2 linked regions of the Oryzias latipes genome follow. The protein of the gene in region 2 interacts with the protein of the main gene of each other region in a pairwise test. Links are inferred from orthologs where the notes say so. Each region holds a gene or a part of one and is shown on either strand. Other genes may lie near its edges.

The links.
Region 1: the proteins of zbtb25 (region 2) and sephs1 interact in binary tests that used the Homo sapiens proteins (3 or more experiments, as listed by UniProt). The two-hybrid records come from large-scale screens. The link is inferred for Oryzias latipes from reciprocal best matches to the Homo sapiens genes ZBTB25 and SEPHS1.

What each region holds. Positions count from the first base shown.
Region 1 is NC_019864.2:20,626,108-20,631,510, forward strand, and holds part of sephs1 (selenide, water dikinase 1), read right to left. Parts: intron 5,011-5,403; exon of another isoform or gene 4,962-5,010; 5' UTR 4,935-4,961; coding exon 4,839-4,934; intron 4,741-4,838; coding exon 4,644-4,740; intron 4,468-4,643; coding exon 4,364-4,467; intron 4,257-4,363; coding exon 4,149-4,256; intron 3,275-4,148; coding exon 3,120-3,274; intron 3,038-3,119; coding exon 2,947-3,037; intron 2,864-2,946; coding exon 2,764-2,863; intron 1,853-2,763; coding exon 1,640-1,852; intron 1,086-1,639; coding exon 871-1,085; 3' UTR 1-870. UniProt on the Homo sapiens protein: Synthesizes selenophosphate from selenide and ATP.
Region 2 is NC_019882.2:12,021,855-12,028,919, forward strand, and holds zbtb25 (zinc finger and BTB domain-containing protein 25), read right to left. Parts: upstream 4,573-7,065; 5' UTR 4,246-4,572; intron 4,234-4,245; exon of another isoform or gene 3,890-4,233; intron 3,576-3,889; 5' UTR 3,569-3,575; coding exon 3,396-3,568; intron 2,993-3,395; coding exon 1,840-2,992; 3' UTR 324-1,839; downstream 1-323. UniProt on the Homo sapiens protein: May be involved in transcriptional regulation.

The sequences.
Region 1 (5,403 bases), on a different chromosome or scaffold from region 2:
GAGCTTCATGGATTTTATTTTCAACAGTTGTGCGGCAACATTAGAAATCAGCAAATAAAACCAGACTGCTTATCCCGAACATTAGCTACATCCTTTAAAGAAGATGAATCTCATCTTCATTCTGTGGCCTCATACATTGGGAATGCGGGTAGTGTAGGATTTGTCTGTTGTGCCTAAAACAGATTTCCATTTCTGTGACCATATTAGAAATGAGAGTTTGCATGTAGACGATCCACTGCAGCTCTAAAACAGGGAAAAGAACCCATCTGTAAATGTAGTATTTATTCGTTTACGCGGGGATGATACAAAATGTCAACATAATATAAAAAGACAAACCAAAAAAAAGCCATTCTGGTCACACTATGTCTTTCAAGGCATCACTTACAGCAATGAACTAAAACTAGGCTTTCAACTGTACAAAGTGTGAGGACGACAAACAAAAACGCGTATACACTGCGTGTTTGTTTGACCAAAGCAACTTTAAGAGACGAACAAGAAAGACCTCCTAAGATTCAAAATGAATCAACAGTATCAGATTTTTGTCTTCATCATGGTTCTCTAAACAGAAGCTGCCTGTCAGTCAAGCACACTTAATTAAACAGAACAGACATAAAAGGCCAAATGGATTCTGGCATAATGTAGTTCCTGCCAATTACTGATGGGGGCGCTGCAGGCCGGGTCCACTGAGGGTGTAGCCTGCGCCAGAGCCACTGTGGGGCGCTGTTTCCACGCTGATTCAGCCCAACCCAGTCTTTGTTGAGTACTGACTATTTTGTAAATATATTTCAACACTAGAAGGATTTTGTAGTTGGGTCTAAAATCCGTCAACCAAGCTTTGGGGTTCGGGTCTGTGATGCAGCCCAGCCGGGATTAGGATGTTGCACCAGGAGTCGGGTTGACATTCTGCGTGGCCGCTTGCGGCGCCACTTCTATGATTCGGGGCTTGTCAATGATGCGAGCGGTGCGGTTTCCTTTCTCTACGATCCCGATGATCCACGCTTGGTGTCCCTCTCCGTATTTGGGGGATTTAATCTCAGCGCAGAAGCGGGCGGCCTGCTCCCGGGGCAGACAGATCAGCAAGCCTCCTGCACGGAAACATTTTTTTAAATAACTTTCCAGTTTTCTCTTTTAGAAAACATTTGTCATTACTTTTTAACCAATCCCAAAACATATTGTGACTCCCTTTACTTTTCAACATAAAAATAAAGATACAGCATGATGTTCTTTAATAGTTCTTTCTGTGTGCTCCTAAAAACTAGACATGGGTCCTCCAGGCCAGATTTATAAAAGGTCAATTGTTTTTTCTATGACAAAATAGTATCAGTTGAGCAGCACTTCTGAGTTCTGCTGCAACAAAAAACTGTTAGGACATTATGAGCCCCTTTTAATGCAGGAAAAATGTCGAGTCTGGTATTCTACAAATTAAACCTACATCCTAAAATGTCAAACTTTCATAAGCAAAATGTTATTAAAAAAAAAGGGGGGGATTTCTTTACATAAAAACAGATAAAAACGTGCTAAAAGGCAAAAAAAAAAACCAGGTCTGTGGTTAAAATCAACATCATTCTCTGCCAACTCTGTGGAGCTTAAACTAAAAGGACATCCGCTTGTGCAAAGATAGAACCAGGTGACCACACACCTGATGTTTCGGGGCAGGTGCCATGCATGAGTCCAAACATGTTCCCGCAGGCCTTGGAGACAGCAGCCATCTTGGCGAGAACTGGGAGGTTGTGGATGACAAAAGAGACCTCGCTGCGCTGTTGTCGTGCCAACGTCTGAGCGTGTCCCAGGATGCCAAAGCCTGTGATGTCGGTGGCTGCATGGGCGTTGAAGGTGTGCATAAGGCCAGCAGCTGCGAAGGGAAAGAAAATGTGTTTGCTTTTTTTTTTCCTACTGTGATCAGAGAACAATAAAATAAACCCTTGAAAAAAATCTCCTAAAGATTGTTTTTTGTGTTTTTAACTTGCACTTGTGGCCTTTTTCTGATGAGAGGTCATCTATAAAGAAAATTAGTCTTAAAATTGCCTTACCGAGTATTTCTTTATCAAAATGTTAGGATTCAGGAGCAGTTAAAAAAAATGCTGTTAGAAAATTGTGACGTAGAAAATACGCTGGGTGTGTCACAAGCCTCCTGCTATACTCTGCAGCAGGTAGGGGAAGGGGGGCGGGGTTGCTCAGCTTCAATAGTCCAATAGTCACTCAGAGGTGAATTTCTAATGAACTATTGTTGCCCTGCAGAAACTATGTCTCAGAAAACAACACAGGTTTTTGGGGATTTTGATGAAAAATGGCACAATAATAATTAAAAGACCACTAGGAGCGCTTTTAAAATAGTTGAAAAGATGATCAGAGTGGGACTTAATAGTTTTTATATTTAGTAAATGTTAAATCAACAGCTAAACCTATAAACAACCAAAAAATGTTGGTTTTCCTTCTTTTAGAAAATGCAAAAAAGTAATAAAAAGTAAGTAGCGATTATAATGGCAAGTAGATATCATCATTTTCTTTTATAACATTTCTGATCAGTTTATAAATCAATATCTCAAATAGATTTGATATATCTATGTATCTGTATTGCCTTTTTTTTCTCTGTTTTTTATCAATTGCTTAAAAGTCAGTCAATCAATCAAAATATGTGGGCCGCAGTGCAGTCCTGTTACTGCAGGGGCTGCTGTGGTTCAAAATGGAACTCCTGAACAATTGATCCAGTAGTGGTTGAAAACCAAATTTATGTAACATCCCTGATTTCTTTTTTTTTTTTACCTGTTCTGTTAAGCCGAGCCATGTTCATCATGGCTTCATGGTAGGCTAACTCCACATCTTCCTGGGTTACCACCAGCTTGATCTTGTTCCATTTTTCAGGCTAGGAGAAAAGAATTCTATCAATCTTTATTGACAACCTCAGAAACAATTATTCTTACCTGAGCATTATAATGGGACACGTACAATGTCTAACCACTGGTGCACCGCGACAGCCACTTGTGTTCCAAGCGGTTTGGTTAACACCAAAACATCTCCTGGCACTGCATTATCTGGCCTAAAAAAAGGACAGGTCTCCATTATGGTTTTACCCTTAACCAGAAAAAACACAACACTAGGAAGCAAAAGCCTTTTTTTACATGATAAACTCGTTGGGCTGACAGACTGTTGTTGCTACTCCTCCCATCACGACCCAGGGATTGAGAACGGTTTGACCTCCTGTTACAGATGTGCCCGCCTCCTCTGACGCGTCCTTAAATCCTTGAATGATCAGTGGGATGACTTTGTCTCTTTCCTAAAAACACAAAGAGTTGTGAACAAAGATCCAGAGAATAATATATGTTATTTGTACTTGAAAGGACTGTATTGCTAAATCTCAATAGATCATGATCCAATCACTTGAATACAGCAGGCTTGGTCCTCTGCCCTGCCCACATCAAACTGCTGTTGCTGCTCTCACTGAAGGCAGGTGAGCAGAACCTGCAGCACCCTTTTAGCCAGAATATGTGCCCAAGCTTTTCAGAAAAATGCGCAAAACCTTTGAGGTACAGACTTAGATTTTAGCCATTCAGCAGGTCAGATGGGTGTAATCGAAGAAAAACTTTAGTGACGCCACACAACCGACAAGTGCAGAGGAAAAAAGTGTATTTAGAGGATTTTTTGATACAAAAAGCATGACGTGATAAAAAAAGTCCAAGTCTTTATACTGAAACGGCCACCAAGGTTTAAAAAAACAACAACATAACAAGCTCATACTTTAGAGGTGCTTACATCAGCTTTGCTTTTTTCCTGAGACAGCACCTCTCAGTGTTCCATAAATCACAAATAATGTTCAATTATGATGAATGAGGGTCACAATTCAGGTTTCATTTTCAAAATGTTGTCAACTTTCTCTATACTAACGTTTTCGTGTGATTATTGCAACTTATTTAGTTTGTTTGTTTTTTGCTTGCATTTCTGACATCACTAGCACAGAAAATTGTTTGTTTTACTGTCTTCAGATTGGACTATGTGTTCCTGAGCATTAAACTGTTTATGAATGGTTTATTTACAAGATATGAACACTTGTTAAAGAGTAAATATTAGTAGCAGATGGTGAACAAACACCATCCCAAAAAGAAAAGTTAACCTCTGTTTCTCAGAAACATGATCTACAGGAAGTCTCTTACTTTCTCCGACATTTTGTTGCTGACTCCCAGAAGCATCAGCATGTTATCACATTCTGTTACTCCCATGGCGTAAAGGTCACTTAGAACATTGGCACAAGCAATTCTTCCCTAAAAAATAAAATAAAAAAGGGACAAATGAAAGTACAAGAGCGTTTTGAGACAACAAAACCAAAGGGTAGCCAGTCAATCATTCCAGATACAGGTGAGGTCCATACCATCATGTAGGGGTCATCTACAATAGGATAGATGTAATCTGTTGTTTGGACAAGGGAAAGACCACCATGTCTGAGAGGAATCACACATGTGTCCATTCCTATGCCTACAACACAGAGAAAGGGGTTGTTGTCAGACAACAAACACAATAGTTGTGCACTTTCTGACTGAATGTCCTTAAAGCATGAATGTCTTTGGATCCGATTTAGCAAGATACTCTTTTACAACTTATTAATAAGTATGAAAAAGTCTTAAATCAAATTTAAGAGTAGAAGATTTTACCTAATCGAGGCATAACTGCCCCCAGGAACTGTTCATCCTCTTGATAATGGTTTTCCTGTAAGCTTTCTAGCAACTTCTGTAACACATCTTGGGGGACCTGTAGTCATTAAAAAAAAACAATGCACCCAAATTACAATATATCTTCTATTTAAATCCTTCTTTTATCCAAAGTAGATTATAATGTAAACATATTACCTTACAGCCTGTGCCTTTGAGCTCGGTGAAGCGTGTAAGCCTGAAGTTTTTGTCCAGCTCATAGCTTTCGGGGTTAAAAGATTCCCTCACGGACATGTCTGAATAAATTCTGGCTCCTCGCCACTAAAACCACATCAGTCACCAGGGTGAACACACGTATGTAGAGACAGGACTGAGGGTCAAAAGACAAGAAACTACAAGCTGATGGATCACACTGTAGTGCCAACACATTCACCCAAAAAAAACCTTCAAACTGCATTCTTCATCGATTTCTGAAAAGATTTAGTATTATGTAAACACATATGTCATAACATATGTTTGTACCAGGAAACAGTCATATTTAGGTTTTAGTCATTTTCCTTCAAAAAAAAAAAAGAAAATTACAAAAACAACAATTATTGTTAATTTGATCTTTGAATATCATTTGAGCAAAAGTCAAAAAATGAAATGTTTACTGTATGCCTTTAAGCTTTGATATAAAGATCTAGTAAGTTATTTCAGATTAAATAAAATAAGTAGAACTTCTATTTATGTCATGTCATTTCAGTTCCTAATCTCCCCCTTA
Region 2 (7,065 bases):
TTTTAGGATTTGGGTAAATAATCCAGCTTTCTTTTAATTATGTTTTATTTGGACTGAATCAGATTTAAATTATCATAAATATTAAAAATGTATTAGATTACAACAAATTAGATTAACTTAATGAGACATCGGTTTTGAACTGGCACTATGAATATCCATTTGAAAATCCTCTCTGCTTTATAATGTATAATTAAACTATATCTACATTTTTGTCTGTCTGTAGCCATGGAGAGGAACAGATTATGGGGACTGTAGTTTATGATGGAGTTTAATATGGGATTTGAAAGGAGTTTGTTGCGATGTGCTTAAAGAGCAGTCATAGGTCTGGTGGAAAAAGACATTTATTTACAAAAAGTGAAACTTCCATCAACAATAAACAACTATATACAAAAAAATCTTTTTTTTTTACAGCAAAAACACAGACGATCAAAACATTCACTCGCTCAGCGATCAGTAATCGATGGACCTTCAGCTGGAAATCCTCTCAGTAAATGCTGATCATGTGTTTCCAGGAATTTGACATTTGTTGGTATAAAGTACACTTTTTCCGTTGATAAGTCAATCATTTCACCCTCCTCAGACTAATGCGGGATGACAAGTCATCAAACTAAAAATAAAAACAAATAAATAAATAAATACTTAAGAGAAAAAGAATTTCACAAAAATATTATGGTAAAAATATAACATATTTCTCCAGTAATGTAAACATTTCTCATATAGCAAATTTGAAAGCTTCCCGAGATATGAAAGAAAAAAAAAAGAGGAAGAAAGAGAGGAGTAAACGAAGACAGGATATGAAAAATATGTGAGAAAATATGGACTACAAACTCAAAAACAACAGAACGAAAAAAGGAAAATTGGAATTAAAACAAAATAACAGGAAATGAGAAAGACTGAGAACAAATAAAGGAAAATACACAGAAATAAAACGACTAAAGAGGAACAAAATAGTCACAGTAAACTTCTCTGTTTCTCTAAAAAAAAAACTCTTATTTTGAAAGGACATCACACATGTTTACTTATTCCTTTTTTTACTCAACCGTGTATGTAAAGCTAACAGAGAAAACGATGAATGAGCCATGAAAAGAGCGGTTCATCTTCTTTTTGAGGTGAGGAACTTTCCTTCATCTGTTCCTGCCTCCATCAGGAAACACTGTTTGACATTTTCTGCTCAGTCTTATCTCCCTTAATCCCAACGAAAACACGTCATTTCTCACTTTGATCTGTTAAAAAAAAGCTTTGTCTTTTATTCGCCTTTTGAGTTCTCTTGCTTAAAAAAAGTTGGTCGTATAGAGACAAAAAAAAATAATTCTAAAATGTGTTTTTTTTCAGGTCGGTGCTTGAAGCTCATGATGGGCGAGGATGATTCTGTAAATCTGAAATGAAGCAGAAAGCCGACATTTGTCGATTTTTGTCTCAGTTTAAACTGCATCTGAAAGGAATTGCTGGCAGACAGAGCTGCGGATTGTCAAGAAGCTCTAAAGGAGAACGACTGTCAGACGCAACGCCAAGGCACTACTGCGTCTGACGGCACCGAAGTCCAACGGCTCGCCTTTGTCCTCCACATAACCACTAGTGCGGAATCACAACGTGTGTGCCACTTCCTGTTCCCACACGTTAATGAAAACCAAAGAATCAGAGAGTCTGATGGTGTTTTCCCATTTAAGATTGATGGTCCAGAAGCGCAAAACACGACCTAGACCCACTCCGCCAATCCTCGAGGCTCTTCAGAGTCCAACCAACACCATGACCACATGATTGACTCACATCACACACCTGCACAGGTACAGAGCCATTAGAAAACAAACATCCAAACAGTCTTGTCACCGTTGGGCGCCATCACTCAACAGGAACGCCATCCACGCTCTCCTGGGAGACCTCCGAGTCCAGTGAGTAGCAGGAGCTGCCGTTGTCCTGAGCATCCCTGTTGGCGTCCTCAGAGAGTGCCGAGGCTCCCCCCGCGTCTGTCCCACCCTCACAGAAGTGGGTGGAGCTCTGGAACAGCTGGCTGCAGAGGCGGCCGTAGCGGTGGTAACGTCCGGGCTTGCCGGTGTGGGTGTACATGTGCTCCTGCAGCTGGCTCTTGTGGGTGAAGCGCAAGCTGCAGACGGCGCAGGCAATCTTCCGTTTACGTGAGTGCAGAGTGGTGGGGGCGGGGCTGTTACTACCTCCTCCCCCCCGGCTCCTTCTCAACTCCGCTGCCAGTTGGTTGGCGAGTGCCTGGCTTTGCCTGAGCGCCTCCTCCAGACACCCTGCATCCAGCTGCTCCTGGGCCCCAGGAGGACCTTCCTCCACACCAGCGTCCAGCTCTCCACCCTGTGAAAGCCCCTCTATTAGACGGGCGGGGTTGAGGGCATGGCTAAACAGATGCTCCTGCAGGCCTTCTGGGGATGAACAGCGCTCCCCACATCGAGGACATAGCAAGACGAGTGCGTGCTCTTTGGGTTCAGCGAGGGGCCCCTGGCTTGGACTACACCCTTGACCCGGAGAACCCACAACAGTACCTTCTCTTCCCTCGCCGTCTTCCTCCTCCACACATTCCTGCTTGATGCGAGCCGAGATGTCCGAGTCGTCTCCAGAAGCCACGGAGCAGATGTTCCGCAGCGCCTGCGGGTCAGAATGAACCCCTTCCAGTCCAACGGCGAGCGACAGCTGCGAATGGGACCTTACCCCACGGTCCATGGAACTTCCATCCTCAGGGGTGCCGCGGGACACCGTCGTTGCCTTGGGAACTCCTGGCACCCCCTTGTTGGCTAGCTGGGAGGATATCTGGATGCCGTACAGATTTGACATGCGGACTGCATCTGCAGCAGCATCTGCGGTGGCCTCACCGGGTTTCCGGCACAGCTGGTAGGCGTGGAGGAACTTGATGCCCTCTTGGAGCCGGCTCTGGTCTACAGGCTGTTTGGGACACATGCCTGTGTACATGATGTGTAGGAGATAGCTGAAAACGTCCGGCTGGATGTCGGTGGGTTGAATCTTTATGCACTCACTGAGGACAAAAAACGAACATCCGGTGTTGGAGATCAAAAAGAACCAATGACAGCATATATCAATGAACACATGTGGTCACATGACTTCCGTTGGCTCCCTGCCTGTCCAGTGTGAACATCATGAGCTAAATGCACATTTTAAATCCGGGTTTGGCAGATTCTTGAACACGCGTCACAAGCCCGGTGTGTGCGTAGCTTCAAATAGGATGTTTATGGGCATCTAAAACTAAAATTGAGCCCCCATCTCATCATATTCTGCAAAAATGCAAAAATGTATCATCGACCAATTCCAAAACAAATATGGTTACAGTCCTGCTATTAAAATCAAGGACCATGTCCCTGTAACTTAGGTGTCTTTTACCAAATTAGTTTTAACTATTGAGAAAATGGAAATGTTCTCACCTGGACTGATGGATGAAGATCATTTTGAAGTAGTTGGAAAAGGCGGCCAGCACAGCTCGATGAGCTTTGAAGTAGACGTTTCCGATGGCAACGGTACAGTCACAAAGAAAGCCAAACTCTCTTTGCACGTTGAGCTGCTGCAGCAGGAAGAGGCTGTGAGACGACACCTCCATGACCCGTCTGAAACACAAACATACACCAACCCTGCTCAGTCCTGGAACCATCCGGCCAAACCTGGAACGGCAATTCTGCAGATCGTTGTTCTGGTTATGCTGCCACATGAAAGTCTAAATATTTCAGTTCCATGGCACTTTGTTTTTGAAAATAAAAAGCCCAAATTGCCTGGAGTGTCTGTGATGAGATGCTCAAGCTCCACCTGTACACCTGGCAACTGTCTGTCTCTAGGATGCTTGCACCCTCTGACATCACAGAATACATTTCAGGTCTTCCACCTCAGGCCTGAACTCAGGTGTGAAAAACAGAACTCTGAATACCTTTTAGAATGTGACCTCTGATCATACTGAAGGTCAGAAGGAAGAGGAGGAGGGGAGGAGACAATCAGGAGGAGGGCGTTTTACCCATGAACCTGGACCGCTGTGCCCCCCCGCAACATTTCTGCACGAGCACGCTGCCTCGAGCCCGACAGACTGCAGATTCCTCCATCCAGCCATTCATCCATCCTTTCATCCATCCATCCATCCTTCGTCACTCTCATCCACATGCATATAAACACTCACGCCCTCATCCCTTTCGCGTCCGCACACTCGCGCTCGTGAGCGCATTCGCGTTTGCAAACACGCCCTCTGTCCGTGCGGATCGTGCACGCGCGCCGTTAATCATCCCCTCTTACCTCGGAAACGAGCAGATTGTCTTCGGGAGCCGATTTGTCGATGCAGACACGGTCTCGCCGAGAGCCGCTTCCACCTATCGCGAGAGAATGGGTCAAAGGGCCAGATCACGTGATCTCGCGGTAAAAGATTAAATTCCAAATAATATTTTTTTTTAAAGTGTCATATGAAGACATAGAAAATCTATAAAAAAAAACTATGCATAAACAAAGGAATTATATAATCAGTGCATACAACCTCGATGACTTAGAGGAAAGTACACGTTTTAAATTAGACTCGTTTTCAATGCCAAAACATTGAAACAAAACATCTTTAAAGCAAATTCAGAAATGTATCTTTGCTTGCAGAGAAAAAATGCAAAGCTTTCAATAAGCTGCAAAGAAATTTTTTTTTGTTAATATCAAAAGGCAAATTTTTGTTTTCCCCACCGTTTTTGTTCTGAAAGTATTTATGCATTAATTTGTCTATTTTTGTGTGTGTCTCAACGTCTATAGATCAGAGTAACCTTCTCGCCTTTTCAGAGCAACAACTCTTTCCACCCTATCGATTTAACCTAACAAATGCTACAAAAAATCATTATTAATACATAAAATACTGTACTTTATTGGTATGAGCAGAAGCGCCTGTATTTTACGCATTCTAACTTGACTTTCAAATTGCTAAATTTGAAAATACACAGACAAACAAACATTTAATAAATGAATAAAGCAAGTTCTAAAATTATTGTTATTAGTATGTAATTCGGTTTTTTTGAACTCTTCTGCAAAAAATTAAAAATAAAATAAATAAATAATAAGCAGAGTGAGACGTCTTGTCACTTAATTAAACATTTAAGACGCAACTCTGTTTCAGTTTTTGAAAAACAAACAGAGTGAGTGCTCTTCATTGTTTATTGTAAAATGGGTGTATCCGGTTAGCCCGATTTAACCTCGCATCAAGCTAGACAGAAAACAGCATGTGTCGCTTCCGGAAGACTGTTTACAAAATAAAATACAATCTAGCTTATAAATATCCAGAGGAAATGACAGGACAAATTCCTGAGATGATACATACCATTAATACAATTAAACAAACAATTATTGTTTTTTTTTTAAAAAATCAAACATTTTATGAGAGCTGTTAAAGTTTTATTCTAACTCTGGAATAGTTTTGATGTAATAGAAGACTGCAGAAAAATAAAGTGCATATTGCATTTACTTTAAATATAAATAACTCAGTTTTTCTATAAACACTGTTTTCATTATCTTTAATACTATTTATTTAATTATCTGTATACGTTTTGTGCATGTGTCAGTGAAATAAACAAAAATAATTTCATTTTTAGCATGAACATTTTGTTAGTTATCTTTGTCAATTTTGCAACTGTTATTTATAAAGAAGATAATCATTTTTTTATCGATATTATTACATTATTTGCAGATATGAATCCAGTTTTACTTCGGTGGAACTGTATCTGAAAGGAAGTGTTTTATTTTGTAGGGGGGAATTGACGGAGCAGCGGTCTGTGCGGAAGTTCTTTGATCCTGCAAGGGCAGAGGCAAGTGAGGCTGTCTCGCTACATCTCGGTTCTCTGTCTGAACTCCCCAACCCGTCCGGGGGGGAAATCTCCGGCGTGCCGGGAACATCTGCTCTCTGCCGCCGACAGCAGCAGCAGGCCTCGGGTTCCCACGGTGAGTAGGTGTGTTTGTCCGCAACCTTTCAAGCCGCATCGCTGCGAGAGCTCCAAGAAAAGAGAAAAGAAAAATCCTCGCGGCCTGCTCCTCTGGTGCAGCCGGGGCAAGAGCTATGGCAATGCGGGGGTGGCGGGCTGTTTGCGGAGGAGATGTGGCTCTAAAAGCGTGGCCATTGACGCGCGTTTGAGTTTCATCCGTTTAAGACTTTCAAAATAAAATTCACTGCCTAAATGCTATCACATTACTTAGCCATAAAATTACGATTTCTATGTAGGTTATATGTATTTTCAAGTTATTACTCTTTTTGTAAAAAGTTCCTGTCCACTTAACCAAAGCACACCACAACGTTTTAAAATATATGAACCACTTTGTTTTATTATGAAAGTGTACTTTTCTTTTCCTGTTTGGTCAGCCCTGCTTATGGTGGTGTTGATAGAGCTAACAGTAGGCTCCATTTTGGCCGCAGCCGGCCTCTCCCTGCTGCGTGCCTGAACACGACATGTCTCTCTCTCCCCCCCAGTCGGTGACGGTTTGAGCGCCTCTGAAGTGTTCCACGGTTCCGGGGGGGGCTTTAGCGGTGCAAGGCGGGGGCGACTAGGGACAGGGGTGGGGGCGTCAGTACGGAACCGGATGCTAGCACAGGTCAGGCTTCTTTACTGTAGACTTGATAAAACATTGATTGACACCTGAGAACTTTTACGAAAGGACTTCCCATTGACCCCATTTACAGGGTTTACTCACCCAGAAACCAGACAACCTTCAACTGGGATGTTTTAACTTAAGAGACTTTACACGACCCCTGCGTTACTTTGAAGTTACTCTCTGTACCTGCGGAAGTAGACGTTACATTATAGTGACAAAGCATTTTACTTTCAGATTAATTTTGTTTTAAATTACCACTATCATTTTTGGTTAAGTAGGGGGGCAACCACTATGAGGCTAACCCTCAGCTTTAGTCCCTTAAATCCATAAATCGGGGGACTATATTATCTACTTTGAAAAAAAGTAAACACAAACAGAGGCCCAAATGGTAATATTGTCTAATAAAAGCAGGACAAAATGACTGAAATTGTTAGCACACACCAACAGGACTAGGGCACATTTGGGAACACCAAAAATAAACAAAAAGGGGTTTTATGAAACTTAATC